Arabidopsis thaliana: one gene and its partner. The gene in region 1 interacts genetically with each later gene. Each region holds a gene or a part of one and is shown on either strand. Other genes may lie near its edges.

Region 1 (9,842 bases):
TTAAGACTGACTGGCTGGCAGGCTGCTCTTAAGGCTGCTAACGAGAAAAAAGATGGGAAAAAGGAGGAAGTTGTTTCCCTCCGTTCAGAAATTCAGGTAGGTCTACTAATATTTTGGTATTAGAATATGTTTGTTATTCTGATCTGCATTATGTAATCATTTCTTTATGTTCAGATCTTGAAGGATGAGGCAGAAACAGCTGCGGAATGCCTTCAAGAAGCGGAATCAGAAGCAAAGGCTCTTCGTATAATGACTCAAAGAATGGTTTTAACACAGGACGAAATGGTATGTTTAGAAAGCTCAAGTCTCATTATACTCACGTTTAAAGATTTCTGATTGTATGGAAAAAAAAATTGATCATCTAGGAGGAAGTAGCCTTGAAGAGATGCTGGCTTGCCCGGTATTGGGGTTTGGCAGTGCAGCATGGTAAGTAATGCATCCATCTTGTGAACGTGTTCTCATTGATACACTTACTCAGCTCTCTAATTTTGGTCAAAGGCTTGTAGTTGTGGTGAGGTAGTTTATTTATTAAAATTCTTAGATATTTGGTTTTCCTGTGGCTTACCTATGTAGGCATTTGTGCTGACATAGCACCATCCAGGCATGAAAAATGGTCGGCTCTGGCTCCTCTTCCATTTGAGCTGGTCATATCTGCAGCACAAAAGACCAAGGAGTTATCTCGGGACAAAGGCTAGTCTTAATATTTGCTATGGCCAAGGTTTCCTTGATACTGTTTACTTACCAGCCTTTGGAATTGATCAGGTGGGAGTGATCAGAGCAAAACTGCTAGATTTTTAAGTGATCTACCTGGAGAAGGAAATATCGAAAGTATGCTTTCAGTTGAGATGGGTTTGAGAGAGCTGGCATCCTTAAAGGTAATATACCATTGTTTCTTTACTTTAAGGTATCTTCAAGTACATAATTAAGTTCTCATATCACAACGAAATTTAGGTTGAGGATGCTGTTATGCTTGCATTCGCACAGAAGAGAACACCGAGTTTGGTTCGTCAAGGTATGTATGCTATATCATCAATTAGTACAGTGTCAAATATAGTCTGTTTTTACTAGTCATCGAGATCAATAGTCTGTTTTCTCCATATCTTACAGATTCCAAAGGGCATGGAGAACTCAGTTTTGTAGAATCATACGGTAAGAGAAGAGAGTCCAAACATGCACAATATATCATATCAGCAGTCAAACTTGATGAAATCCTTACTATGTTATCACATTTCTCAAATGCAGAGATAAAAGAAGGGGAACAAGAAGATGTTGCCTTTAAGCAGGTAGTTTCTTTATGCCTATAATTTCATAACTATAAGGTTATAATGTGACATTTTGTTACAAGAGATGGTAATTATTGGTATATTGTGGTTGGTAACTAAATTTATCGCGATGAATCTTGATGAACCGACGTTATTTGGTTATAAATGCAGGCATGGCTTATGTACTTCTGGGGTAGAGCCAAGTTGCATAGTGTGGAAGAAGACATTGCAGATGAACGTTTCCAGTTTTGGACCAGTCGTAGTGAAGGAAAATCTCCGACTTCACAAGATGCCGTTGACGGTAATAAACTTCTTCAATTGATTTCCCCTGTGTCCTAATTCTAGTTTTAATAACACATTAACTTGTTCTCTTTACAGTGGAACGAGGTTTGTTAGAGCTAAGGAAACTAGGAGTAGAGCAACAATTATGGGAAGCTTGTCGCAAAGAAACAGATCAGCTTCTTCCATCTTCTTCTCCGACATCTACTCTTTCAAATCACAACCTTGACTCTTAATTTAAAGATATCAATAGCATTATTCTCTATTGTATAACCGAAAAAACAAATCATCATAATCTAAAATCTTAAGTTTTAAACCCAAAAAAAAAAAAAAAAAGAGAGTGCTAAAAGTCTAACCATTTCTGAAAATAAACACATGTAGTGGGAGAGATAACACCATCAGGTGAACAGATCGCTATATGCGGACAAACCCCGCAAGGAATCGAAGCAAAAGCTCCAGCTCTCGGTTCGCCATTACCGAACTTTTTCCCGGTCAACCTGTAGCAAACTTCTCCGATTCTCGTAGAAGCAAACTCATTCATTCCATTACTCTTCACCTCCATGATCAAATTATCCAAAATCAAGTTCTTAAGTATCTCCTTAGTCTGATCAACACTCAGCTTCTCCTCTTTAACAAAATACCCACACAAAACCTCCAAAGTAACAACCCTCTGCCTATGCCTCTCCAAAATCATCACACACTTGGCTTTCAAATCTTCGATTTTCGACAGGTCAAGAGCTCCATCAGTGTACCATTCACCACCAGTAAGTTCACTACAAGGCTCAAACTCCATTGCAAGATAATGTTTGACACCTTTGTTGTTCATGTTTGCTACTTCTTTGATGAGATTCTTCTTCCGTAGAGAAGCGATCAATCGAGTAACTATAGTTGCTGGGATCGTTTTCTCGCGTTTCAATTCGAACATAGTTGCGCCTCTTCCTTGGTTTATTCGAATCAGATCCAGAAGCTTCTTCTCGTGTGGCTCGTTTAGATCACCTCCCGATGATTTCGGATCCGGACGTTTTCGTTTACTCATTCTTACAAATTCACCAAACTGCAAAAATCAATCGGAATTGTGACACGGTAATTGAGAGAATTCGTGTGATTTACGAAAAGGATTGATCTATACTATAAGAAGGTGATAAAATCGATGATTCTGAGATTACAAAGGATTTTGGTGAAGATTCAGATTCAATTTACCTGGAGATTGGTTTACTGGAGATGAACAATCCGATGAATATAGAGGCTTTAGGAGAGTTCAGAGAACGGAGAAGTCGTCCGTGACTGGAACGGATACGAAAACCCTAGGTCTGCTTTTAGCTAAATATATAAGACAGAGAAGAAAGTCAAATATATTAGTGTGGGCCTAAACTAATACACAACAAAAGGTAACTCGAAGTGGATTGGTACATATTGTTCAGGATTTTTGTTAATTCAATATGAGATTTCGCTATACAAGTTGGTTTAGATAAAAACATGTAGATTAAAAATATTTATTTTTAAAAAATTCAATTTATTTTTTAAAAATAGAAATAATTATAAAGTATTAAAATAATATATAATTTGCATAAAATTTTGAAAATAATTTATATTGTAAAACAAAAAATTTGGTCCAAAACAATTTATATTGTAAAACAAAGAAAGTATATATTTTTGATTTTTTACTAATATTTATGCTTATTAATTTTCAGAAATAAGTTGACAAAAAAATTCTATAAATATTTTATTTTATTAGACTGAACTTTTTCAGATTAAACCATAAACTTTAGTGAATATTTTTTAAAATCTAAAACCATTTTTGTATAAATGTTGTTGATTTCGACCGAAATAGTTTCATACAAAATATAGTTTTAAATAATAACACAAAACGGAAATAAAATAAAATTAGAAGACAGTTCTGTAAATAATAATATGTTTATTTTTTTAAATCTTGAATAATGAGAATAAAATGATCAGAGTCTTTATTACAATAATAAATTTATGAAATTAAATATCCGTCTTCTTTCTTCGTCCGACAAGTTCATATTAATTAAAGATACCTTGAGACTTTCCTCTTCTCAGATACAAAGCTGACATTTGAAGAAAAAGACATTTCTAAAATTAAACAGAACCTAAGCTTTTGCAATGGCGGAACCTGAGAAGAAGCGAGATCAACCATTTTCTCAAGTAATCATCCTTCATTTTTCCCCCACAAATTTAATAATCTATCATTATCACCCCCACCTTTTGCGTTCATCATTACCCCCACATTTATCTCTCCCTCTTTTCGCAGAGCCAGATTTTGATTTTGATTTTTTCCCCTTTTTCTCTGATCTGATATTATGGTGCTATCGCAGGAAAAAGACGAAGAGAAAGATCTATACCTTGTTCACGACGAGCACGAGTCTCCTCTTCCTCTCACCGTCACTTCTCGTGTAAATTTCTCCGATCCTAAATTCGTTTTAGGTTTTAGGGTTATATTAATAGTCTCGTCTTAAAAATTGGAAGACTTTTGGAATTTGCAGGTTTTGTACATGTTAGGAGATATAGCATCTGGTCCAGCTTATAGGTTTACTCAATGGTTGGATTTAGTTCGTAAACGAAGTGCTACTTACGGATCCTCTGGCTTCCCTCACCGCCTTCACCGCATCGATGATATGGTCACTAGGTTAACACTTTCTCTGACTTTTTGTCAAGTACTTGGTTTGTTGATTATGATTTTGGAATCTTATGAGTATATCAGAACAAAGGTTTCTAAATTAGGATATTAGTCTTCATGTCAGTTGATACAAGTATTATCCAGTGCAGGAGAGAGGAATACTGATCCTAAAAGTCCACCAAGTAGGCAGAGTTCAGAGATTAGTTTGTGGGAAAGGCTTGGTAAAGCTTCTACTGTGGATATTGATTCGAGCTGTTTTTCATGGAATATGTTGTCTTCACTTCATCATACTGAACATAGTAGTAGCACTGATCATTCTGAAGAAGACCAGAGTAAACCACTTGAGGTATATATATCATTATGATCTTGGACTGGTGATGCTAGGAGGATCTTTTGACACTATTAGATGTCTGTACAGGTTACTGTGAATTCTGGAGGAGTTGTTTTCTTTGCCCTGTTCAATAGTTCCAGCTCTGAAGATGCCTCTCGTAAGGAAGAAGCAGCAGTTATTAAATTTGCATCATCGAGGATGGCCACGCAATCAGAACGTCTAGGTTATGAGTTTTCCAAGTGGCTAGGGGTGCAGATTCCGCAGGTGCTTCTTTTCTTTCTTGTAGTTTTTTAAAAATGTAGTAATGGTTTTGCTCATTTCACTTTCTTTCTAGAATTTTCAAGTAATGAGTAATCATCATGCGACAGGCTAGAGTAATTCACAGCTGTAATCCTGAGTGGACACTGATCAAAGAAGCCACTGAAAAAGCACAAGCTAAAGCGACTTCGGAGGGGGACGAGGTTGGTGAAATGACATGTTCAGAACTTCTGGAAGCCCTTGAGCTCAGCCGTTGTCTTCTCTTAATGAGGTGAAAGCACAAGATTCATCTTTATTCTTTATCACTTTTCTCCATTTTTTACTTGGACCAGCAGCATAATGTTGACAGTTTTTTTGTTCCTTTGCATTAGTGTTTAACTAGATGATAGTAAACCATTTGAAATATGAATATACCATTTGATAATATATTTTAAGAAAAATAAAAGATGTTATGTTATTAGATATAAAAATTGTATTATAAAATAAGAAAGATCTAAATTACAAATATGAGGTGGAATTATTTTATTGGATAAAATTTGATAACAACAGTTAAACAGAAATCTAATCTTGCTTTAAATGATAATAAATATGAGAGAAATAGCTGAACAGAAATCTAGTCTTACCTAATAGGATTATGTAAAATCTAGTCTTACCTAATAGGATCATGTAGGCACTTTCAAATTTACAATTTTTAATGTGATGTTTGTATAGAACCCCTCTTCTTAGCCCAGGATTCTCTATATGTGATTACAGTTATGTTCATGGATGTCCAATGCTGGAGAGCATGAGTAGTTTTGAAACTGAAGAAAAAGCAGAGAGAGCTGCTGCAGCTCTAGGGAGAATCTTGGTGTTAGATCTAGTAATTAGGAATGAAGACAGATTACCGTGTCGTCAGCTGAGATGGCGTGGCAACCCGGCAAATCTGTTACTGACAGACAGAATTGTGTCTTCTGCAAAGCATCATGAATGTTCATTTGATGAAGCTTTTGATTCCGCCATCAAACGGTACCATCCAAAGGACTATAGATCCATTCAAAGGGAAAGAAGAGCTTCTTCCGTAGATAGCAGATCCAGGTTGAGTATCAGTGATCAAATGTTGGTCTCACAGGCTTCTGATTTTTCTGATATAACGGAATCACCTAGATCATATGATACTGGTTTAATGAGTCCAATGTCTGATAGATCAGTAGCTGCCGATTTTCACCTCGTTGCCATAGACTCGGGTGTTCCACGGCGGCCTCCTGCTGGAAAACGGGCAAGCGACCAAGAAATTTATCCAAGATTAGTTGAGTTACTCCTCAATAGTAGCCAATATTCTTCGAATTTGTTACATGAAATAACAGAAGGAAGTTTAGGATATCCACAGGCAGAAGATGGTGAAGAAACATCTAATGTTCGATCTGTAGTAACACCAGTTGTACGCGAGTTTCGAAATGGTTTCCGAGCTGGTCTCAGGGATTTGCAAGAGTTTCACATCTTCCTTGTCACCCTTCATCAGAAATTAGATGTGTTGCTTCGGGCATTTTTTAGTATGATGGACAAAACAATGTGTGCAGATTTTGACAGAGAAGACTTTGCTGTTCCTGAGTCACCTTCACATACTCATGGGCATGAGGTGAATCATTATCCATCTCCCTCAAAAGATCGGGTGCCTAGTGATAACAGCTCTGATCACAGTGAGTCAGATATGCAAAAATCAGTTCCTAGGACACCAAATTCAGAAAACAAAGAAGACGGGTCTTCGCCTAAGTCACGTGAAAGTTGGCACGGAAGATCCGGTAAAGGTGGAGAATCTCTTAGCAGTCAGCGTTTGGCAGCAAAGCTCCGTGACTTCCATAAGTTTGCAAAGGTTTGTCGCTTCGAGCTTTGATCACTATGTTCTAATTTGTAAAGTAGGTTCAGATTTTTTATAAAAAAAAAAGTTTGTCTTCTTGGATGGAAGTTCTCAGCCATTTTCTCTTTCTTCACTCTCAATATTTTCATGGTGCGTCCAGGTTGATGCTGAGTCTAATAAAGAACTAGACCAGTGGAATGAAACACTGCGGAATGAAGTGATGAAACTTTGCCAAGAGAACGGTTTCAACACTGGTTTTTTTGAGGGCAGTGATAATAACAGTTGCACAGATGCTTATGAGCTAAAGGTATCATGAAGTTTTATTATTTCCTTTTATCCTGAATATGATCTTCATTATATAATATAGTTTTTGGCAACTGAACTCAAACATTGTCTCTCTTGTTTGCATTCTCCTTGATAACAGGTTAGACTTGAGCATATTCTTGAGAGGATATCATTGATTAGCAAAGCTGCTAATACAGAGAAACCATCAATGATACAAGAAAATCTTTTTATCGGGGGAGGATTGGCTGCAAGGTCGATTTACACTCTTCAGCATTTAGGTATAACTCATGTTCTATGTTTGTGCGCTAATGAAATCGGGCAATCGGATACTCAATACCCGGATCTCTTCGAGTACCAAAACTTCTCAGTAAGTGAACCTGTCTTATATGTCTCTTAAAAGGAATTGGTAAAAAAAAATGCATCTATAAAGATGATCGTTTTCTTCTTGTGTCTTCCCTTTGACCAGATAACCGATGATGAAGACTCAAATATCGAGAGCATCTTTCAAGAAGCTCTCGATTTCATCAAGCATGGCGAAGAAACTGGTGGCAAGATTTTAGTTCATTGCTTCGAAGGTCGGAGTAGAAGCGCAACAGTAGTGCTTGCTTACCTAATGCTCCAAAAGTAAGTTGTTGGGGACAAATAAAATTTGTTGGAAATTTTCAATACTTGTTCTCATTTGTTTACTGGTGGGAACAATAAATAGGAAGCTCACACTTTTAGAAGCATGGAGCAAACTGAGGAAAGTTCATAGACGAGCTCAACCGAATGATGGATTTGCGCGGATCTTAATAAACCTCGACAAGAAATGTCACGGGAAAGTATCAATGGAGTGGAGACAGAGGAAACCGACAATGAAAGTGTGTCCGGTTTGTGGAAAGAACGCAGGTCTAAGCAGCAGTTCTTTGAAGCTTCATCTCCAGAAATCTCACAGGAAACTGTCTTCGGGAAGTGTTGACAGTGCAATGAACATGGAGATTCAAAAGGCTTTGGAGGCTCTTAAACTCAGCACTGGCCGTGGCTCAAGTGCTAGTTCCAATTCTTTCCAATCTCATCCTGGTTAGAGAGTCCGGTTTGGTTTTATCTATGGTTTGTCCCGGTTAAAGTCTCTCTAATCGTACATCTCTGAACAAAAACATTGATCTGTTTTGTTTTGTTTTTTACTGTAACGATCTTTGTACTTGTATACGCAAGTAAATAAAAAGCCGAAAAGCTGAATAGAAGTCACTGGGAAACGTCATAATAAGCTAATGTAACATTTGTAACTCTTTTTCCCTTGTGCTTTGTGTTAAGAAAGTAAGATTTGGCCCAAAAATGTCATAAAACTAAAAAATTGATTGCGTAATCAAACAAAAGTTCCCTTTCATTTTCGATATAATAAACTAAAAAAATTTGACATTCTTTCCGGCGTGCACATTGATGAAAGTGAACTCTTGTTAACTTTCATTTGTGACTTGTATGGAGTACAAGACGTGCGTGATGTGCCAGACGACGGAGAAAGATGAAGGAATCATGAGGTGGTATATGTATGAAGAATGGCTATGGAAAGCAGACAAAGTAAAAATTGATTGAAATATTGGGGAACATAAATGCAAATCTAATTTGATGTTAAATCTATGTGGGAAATCTGATAACGGTGGATCGTCTTTGTGGACCAACTTGGTGTTAGCTTTTTTTCCAACTACTTATTAATTTATCCATTCCTTTGTTAATGACTAGTCTCTCCTTTAAGTCATCCTTTAAGTTGCTTTTGTATCTCCACTTTATTCTCTGCCTTCTTTTTCATGGGAAAGTTGCACATCAGAAGCACCAATGAACTTGTAATGAACTCCTTCAAAAAAATTTCTGATATTATATCTTAAGCGATGTCCTCTCTCCTACATTTTTGTTTGTTTATTGTTTACCAATTTCTTGAATAACAAGTTAATTTGTTTCTTCAAAAAGTGTAGAAGCCCACTTTTGTAACGGACGTTAAGATTGCGCTTTAGTTGGTGAAATTTTATATGTTAGGTAGTTCACGTATTTTGTTGTTTGGAGAAATATTAATAAATGGCATTAAATGGAAATCGAATCCATTCTTTGAAGCAGTGTGGGTCCAAACATGGAGCACAAGTGTTATAAAAGACTTGAGGCTGAGAAGTAACGAAGAGACATGAAAAAGAGGACAATGACCAAAGGTGGTACATAACACACGTATGACTCGTCCTTACTTTGCTGTCCACAAAATTCTCTCATAAAACTAAAACCTACCACCGATTTTTTCTCCTCTCTCTCTCTCTCTCAAAATCTGCCCCGGCTCTTCTTTATCGGACGCGTAGTATCAATATCGATATTTTAACCCCGTGATCTATGCTTATCTTTTCTTGGTTATATGGTTATAGAGAACCGTTATCTGTTTTTGATACCTGTAAATAATATAATAGAAATGCTTCTTAGACCCGACATTCGTAAATAATATAATATCGAGAATCAAATAAGTTACATGATTCGGATTTTCATTAGGAATTGGACAACTATCGAGAATGGTTATGGCATATTTATACATGTTGACCACTTATTTGTGAGTGGTTATTATCCCGGATATAAAATGATCATCTAAGTGAAAATTTTTGAATCCGTCCAAACATTTCTACTATTGATCCGAATGACAAAATCAAGATAAACTAGTACTCCCTCTATTCATAATAGTTTGATGTTTTGGATTTTGACGCTTATTAAGAACTCAATTATTGTTTAATCATTTTAACATTTTTCTTAGTGTTATAAGACAATAAAAATAAAGAAAAATGCTAGAAAATCAATTTTTATGAAACAAAAAACAAAAGCTAGAGCATCAAACTTTTAGGAACATATGGAGTATTTGGTATCAAACGATTTCGTCTATACGATATGGCAATTTTAAGCGTATATGTCTCTTTCTAGCTTTGAAAGTTGATTTGATATAGAAGAAAATTG
Region 2 (6,236 bases), on another chromosome or scaffold:
TGGAGGATAACTGAAAGTTATAACAAATTTGATAGTTCATGTAGTTTATTGAAAAGATGTTTAGTTAGAGATTTTTTCATGTGTAAAAATATTATAAGGAAATCATACAATGAATTACTAATATTATAAGGGCAATTGACAAAACAAAAATATATTATTTTAGAAAAAGGTATATATATTTCTAATATAAATAAATACAATTAATTACAAATATTGTATAACGTGTAAGAAAATAATTGTTTTAAATATATATATATACTTCTAAGATTAAGTAAATTATACATTTAATCACTAATACAGTAAAAATATTAAATAAATTATTAAAATTAGTAATTCTAACACAAGAAGGCTTAAATTTTTCTTTTCTTTTTTTTCTCTCTTCAGAATTGGTTTCATATAACGATCTGTGTGATACACAGTTTAATTGATATATGAATCGACAAATACCAATAAAAATCGCTGTGAATGAATATGTATAGATAACGAAAAATACGCGGGTCAAGGTACAACCACGACATGCCATATTGCCATGTGGCTTCAACCCCCACATATAAGTCCACGACATTGCAGGACATAACGATCATAAAATTTGGAGGAAATACAAATATAGAAGAATGGAAGAATTGGACATAGTAATCGTGGGAGGAGGCATTGCTGGTCTTGCAACTTCCCTTGCTCTTCACAGGTTCACTATAATCTCCTCATTTTCTCAATTATAAGGTAATTTAAATTAGAAAACATATACATGAACTATTGACTAACTAAACATACAAATATGATTATAAAGGAAGGGCATAAAGAGCGTTGTGTTGGAGAGATCAGAGTCTGTAAGATCGGAAGGAGCAGCATTTTGGTATTCAGACTAACGGCTGGCTTGCTCTTCAACAACTTGGTGTCGCCGATAAGCTAGCTTCGTCTTAAGTCTCTCCCAATTCATCAGTAAGTATATAAATATTTATATTTTAACTAACCTTATCTAGTTATAATGATTTCCGGTATGGTACTAAAACAGGATAAGAGATGTTTTGATCGAGAAAGGTATTAAACGAAGAGAATCGGTTGGACCAGCATCCTATGGAGAAGTAAGAGGTGTACTAAGGAACGACTTGGTTCGAGCTTTGGCTCATGCTCTTCCTCTTGGCACTCTCCGGCTTGGTTGCCATATTTTGTCGGTTAAGCTCGACGAAACAAAATCGTTTCCGATTGTGCACGTTAAAAACGGGAGAAGCTATCAAAGCAAAGGCACGTTTTAACAACAGTAGATATATTTATTGATCAATTATTGAGGTGATGCCGTAGTGGAATTTTTTTAGTATATACTTTATATTAGCCGACAGTGACATTTATGGGTCGTGATCGGTTTTAATGGTTTGTGTTTTGTTTGTTTTTCACTGAAAGCAACATGTTTAGCATGAAATGCATGGGTCTTATATATTTTGATAATATACTTTTCTTTTAATTTAGGTTTTGATTGGCTGCGATGGGTCAAATTCTGTAGTCTCTAGATTTCTAGGATTAAACCCGACTAAAGACCTCGGTTCGCGGGCCATCAGAGGGTTCACAAATTACCCGGACGACCATGGATTCCGACAAGAGTTTATAAGAATCAAGATGGACAACGTCGTAAGCGGACGACTTCCTATAACTCACAAACTCGTCTTTTGGTTTGTTGTTTTGCGAAATTGTCCCCAAGGTAATTAATAACCCGGTCATGCTACATTTCATACTATACATAGACTTCTATTGTTTTCATATAACGCACTAACGTATTTATAATTTGTTTTATAAATAGACTCAAACTTCTTAAAAAATCAAGAGGATATCGCAAGATTGGCACTAGCATCAGTCCGCGAATTCTCAGAAGAGTGGAAAGAGATGGTGAAGAATTGTGATATGGACTCTTTGTATATCAACCGTTTAAGGTACCGTGCTCCTTGGGATGTTCTGTCTGGAAAATTCCGACGTGGCACCGTGACAGTTGGCCGGAGACAGTATGCACCTAATGGGCCCATTCTTAGGACAAGGATGTTCGGCTGCGCTTGAGGACGGTGTTGTTTTGGCTAGATGCTTGTGGAGGAAGTTAAATTTAGGTCAAGACGGTATAATTAATGTATCTTCCTTCTCTTCAAGGATGCAAATAGAAGAAGCAATTGATGAGTACATTAGGGAAAGAAGAGGTAGACTCGTGGGGCTTTCGACACAAACTTATCTTACCGGTAGTTTAATAGCAGCTTCTTCGCCGGTTAGGAAGCTATTGCTTGTAGTTATGTTGATGATTCTGTTTCGTGATCAAATTGGTCATACTCGATATGATTGTGGCAGTCTATAAATTTATCTTATGTACGAACTGTCTAAATTGCGAGAGTTGTGTGCTTCGTGAGATGATTGTATCATGAGGTTGGTTACTCATTGTTCTTGCGAATGTTTCCTGTTTGTTCGCTTCTGATAATTTTTGTTCGATTATTAAAAGAACTATGATATTAGTCTTTCTCACTTGTGAGTTGTGAAAGACAAAAGAAGTCCAATCAAAAACTTATTTAAGAAAATTATGGGCGGTATCATCTGCAAAAAAATATTCTCAAAAACATTTTAATCCAATTAATAATTCTGGATTCAAGTTTTTTGGACCAAAAATAATCAATAATTATTCAAATACATTTTTCGTATATTTTGATGAAGGAAGAGAAGTCCATATCATTTGTGTTACAAAAACCCCACCCTAGTTGATAAAAGACTTAAAGTCTGCATTATAACATAAACAGAACCAAGAAAATGTAGAGAGAAATGTCAAATTATCCAGTAGCCCACTCAAAATGTAGAAGCTGAATCAATGGAGGTGATAGAAAACTTATCTAGAGAAAACCAGAATTGCAAAGGCTCAATTCGAAGATGTTTTTTTTGATGATCCCATCTTTATTCTTATATATATCAAAAGTTTAATAGTATAGAAGATCGATTTTTTTTTTGTCAGTTTAGATTTTTGATATACTAGGAAAAGCCAAAAAGATAAGTATTGAGTCACACTCATTACAACAAGTACACAAAATTGATATTGGATGGAACTAGTTGTTTTATCCAAAAGCCGAGTTAATGTAAGTGGCGTCATAGGCTTGCGTCAACAGGTCAAGTTACTTCATAAACAAAGAGCGCTTGTTTGACTCGCAAAGACCCACCACACTCACGTAAATTGATTGTCTCCCAAGTAATTTAATTGTCTTAATGAAAAGTCTTCGCTGTTCCTCTACTCTATATAAATAAATTAAAAACACTATACTACATGTTACCTATAGGACTACAGATATTAAAACAACTACCCAAACAAAACTTTAGATCTGAAAATCTCAGCTTTGAAATGGAGGAAATCGGAATAGTTATCGTCGGCGGCGGAATCGCTGGTCTCGCCACTTCCATTGCTCTTCATAGGTTTGTTATTAATTTATTTTGTAATGAGACTCAAACTTTATGAATTCCATATGTAAATTAATATTTGGTGTGTATATTTTTTTTTTAAAATGTAGGAAAGGAATAAAGAGTGTGGTGTTGGAGAGAGCAGAGAAAGTGAGATCGGAAGGAGCTGGAATCGGAACTCTCTCCAATGGTTGGAGAGCCCTTGATCAGCTTGGCGTTGGTGATCGCCTTCGTCTCAATTCTTCTCTTATTCACAAGTAAGTAATATTATTCTTTTTTAACCATAACTTTATTATTCATTATATGTTTGTTTTAGAATTTTGATTTATGGACCTTTCTTGGATATGAACAGGGCACGGACCATGTTGATTGAGAATGGAAAAAAACGAGAATTCGTTTCAAATATAGTGTAAGTCACAATTTTCCTATCCTTAAAATTGAAGATGATAAATATAAAAACTATAGAGTTAATTTGAGTATTTTGATTTAGTTTTTAATGCAGTTTATTCTATTGATTTGTTGTAATCTTTGTTATTGATTTGAATATTTAATACTTTGAATAAAACAGAGACGAAGCTCGTTGTATTAAAAGGAACGATCTTGTTGAGGCCTTATCCGATGCCCTTCCGAAAGGAACCATCCGGTTCGGTTCTCATATTGTTTCTATTGAGCAGGACAAAACTACGTTGTTTCCGGTTGTTCACTTAGCCAATGGAAATAGCATCAAAGCCAAGGTAAATATCAGTATTGTTTATTTAGACATTAATTGTTCAAAGGCAAATATTACATTTGGCTTTTGCATTTACTGAAGAATTTATTTTTGTATGCTTTCAATAGTATAAAATAAATTATGCAATATAATGTTTTTCTTCTCTCATAGGTCCTGATTGGATGCGATGGTGCCAATTCTATCGTCAGTGATTATTTGCAGTTAAACCCGAAAAAGGCGTTTGCTTGTCGTGCGGTGAGAGGGTTTACTAAGTACCCAAACGGCCATGGATTTCCACAAGAGGTTCTAAGGATAAAGCAAGGAAATGTCTTAATAGGAAGGCTTCCTTTGACGGATAATCAAGTCTTTTGGTTTCTAGTACATATGCAAGACAATAATCACAATGGTAAAGATCAAGAATCGATTGCGAATCTGTGTCGAAAATGGGCCGATGACTTGTCTGAAGATTGGAAAGAAATGGTAAAAATATGCAATGTGGAGTCATTAACACTCACACACTTAAGGTACCGAGCGCCATCGGAAATCATGTTAGGGAAATTTCGTCGTGGGACAGTGACTGTAGCCGGCGATGCGATGCACGTGATGGGTCCGTTCTTGGCACAGGGCGGCTCAGCGGCGCTAGAGGATGCGGTTGTTTTAGCTAGGTGTCTAGCTAGGAAAGTTGGTCCGGACCACGGAGACTTGTTAAAGGATTGTTCGATGAAAAACATTGAAGAAGCTATTGATGAGTATGTGGATGAACGTAGGATGAGATTACTCGGGCTTTCGGTGCAGACTTATTTGACCGGACGTTCGCTACAAACGTCATCAAAGGTTCTGAGGCTAATGTTTATAGCTTTGTTGTTACTTTTGTTTGGTCGTGATCAAATTCGTCATACTAGGTACGACTGTGGCCGTCTCTAGAGATTTGATGGACATTTTGTATTTTTTAGTGTGAGGTTGTGTGCTTTAAACTTTTTTTGTGTGTTTCTTTTTCTTATAACATCCTCCTTTCTCAATATAACAAGAGTTTACATGACCATACATTATATTGCAAATGTGATTTATCAACTATTGCTATGATAACAAATAATTGTAAAACTAAACGTAACTAAAATGCTTTGGTCCTGGTCTTAACGAATATATGTGCCTAGGCCCAAAACCTCTTAGTTGTTTAAATAAAAAACAAAAACGAAACTAAAGAAACGAAATTAGACAATTTTTTCTTACTTTACTCTCAGTCACATATTTGTAATTTATTATGTGTTTCATTTTTGTATATGTTTTTTTCAATTTATTATGGTCGACATTGTGCTATCATCACGATGTGCATTTTAGTGATCAAGACTATTCATTCATTGACTCATGGACTCATTGAATCTCTAGGAGCTCCTACGCTCAATGACCCAAAAAAATGTTAGTGAAGTTGAATTTTGGTTTGGTCTCTCCGCTTCAGTAAATTTAGTCTAAGGGGAATTGAATCGTTTGGTGACCTCGTTTTTGAGAGATTCTAGTTAGGAATCCTACATCTAAAATGAGAAAGAGCCTATATTAGCATCTCAACTCATTGCTGATAAATTTTAATTGGAAGTACATTAATACTTACACATGATATATATTTCAGTAAATTTAAGCGAACAGACACTACGATTTTATTGAGATAAAATGAGCCAAGGAACCAATATCTCGATTCTCGAAGATACGTGTTATGTTTTAAGACTCCCTAAATTTAACTAATTCTCATTATTGATTTCACTATATAGCTGTAACAAATTTTCTTTATGTACTCCTTTAATTTGTAAATGATATTTTCGTTTTTTTGACACCATTAAATAAGATAATTTCCTTGAAACAAATAAATTTGTCCTCATGTCAAATGAGTCATCATATTTTTGTTTATATCCAATATAGGTATGTATCTTACATGTAGTAATGAAAATTGTAAATGAGACTAAAATTGGTCTCAACTTTTAATATTTCATTTTGATGAACTGTATTTCATAAAGATTACCTTTTAAAATTTCTTATTCTTTTTTTTTTTTGACAGCTAAAATTTCTTATTCTTTTGTTTCCATTTACTCAAGAAAACATTTACTACATTTTCCTACATTTAGCTTAT

The links. A genetic interaction does not mean that the proteins touch.
Region 2: of PHS1 (region 1) and MO1, changing one enhances a phenotype caused by changing the other (phenotypic enhancement), as found in Arabidopsis thaliana (one study listed by BioGRID).

Annotation. Positions count from the first base shown.
Region 1 is NC_003076.8:7,994,644-8,004,485, forward strand, and holds PHS1 (dual specificity protein phosphatase family protein), read left to right. Parts: upstream 1-3,553; 5' UTR 3,554-3,665; coding exon 3,666-3,707; exon of another isoform or gene 3,708-3,862; coding exon of another isoform or gene 3,863-3,877; coding exon 3,878-3,955; intron 3,956-4,045; coding exon 4,046-4,188; intron 4,189-4,323; coding exon 4,324-4,525; intron 4,526-4,597; coding exon 4,598-4,774; intron 4,775-4,878; coding exon 4,879-5,039; intron 5,040-5,521; coding exon 5,522-6,617; intron 6,618-6,762; coding exon 6,763-6,909; intron 6,910-7,026; coding exon 7,027-7,254; intron 7,255-7,353; coding exon 7,354-7,511; intron 7,512-7,593; coding exon 7,594-7,951; 3' UTR 7,952-8,205; downstream 8,206-9,842. Other genes in the region: AT5G23700 (coiled-coil protein), read left to right, coding at 22-96, 184-285, 366-426, 574-690, 763-875, 952-1,012, 1,108-1,283, 1,434-1,563 and 1 more; AT5G23710 (DNA binding / DNA-directed RNA polymerase), read right to left, coding at 1,885-2,577. UniProt on the Arabidopsis thaliana protein: Probable dual specificity phosphatase that binds and dephosphorylates MPK18, modulating the organization and dynamics of cortical microtubules.
Region 2 is NC_003075.7:8,971,590-8,977,825, reverse strand, and holds MO1 (monooxygenase 1), read left to right. Parts: upstream 1-3,135; 5' UTR 3,136-3,277; coding exon 3,278-3,423; intron 3,424-3,518; coding exon 3,519-3,665; intron 3,666-3,724; coding exon 3,725-3,817; intron 3,818-3,976; coding exon 3,977-4,142; intron 4,143-4,288; coding exon 4,289-5,041; 3' UTR 5,042-5,154; downstream 5,155-6,236. Other genes in the region: AT4G15765 (FAD/NAD(P)-binding oxidoreductase family protein), read left to right, coding at 615-685, 788-853, 1,013-1,211, 1,465-1,693, 1,793-2,043.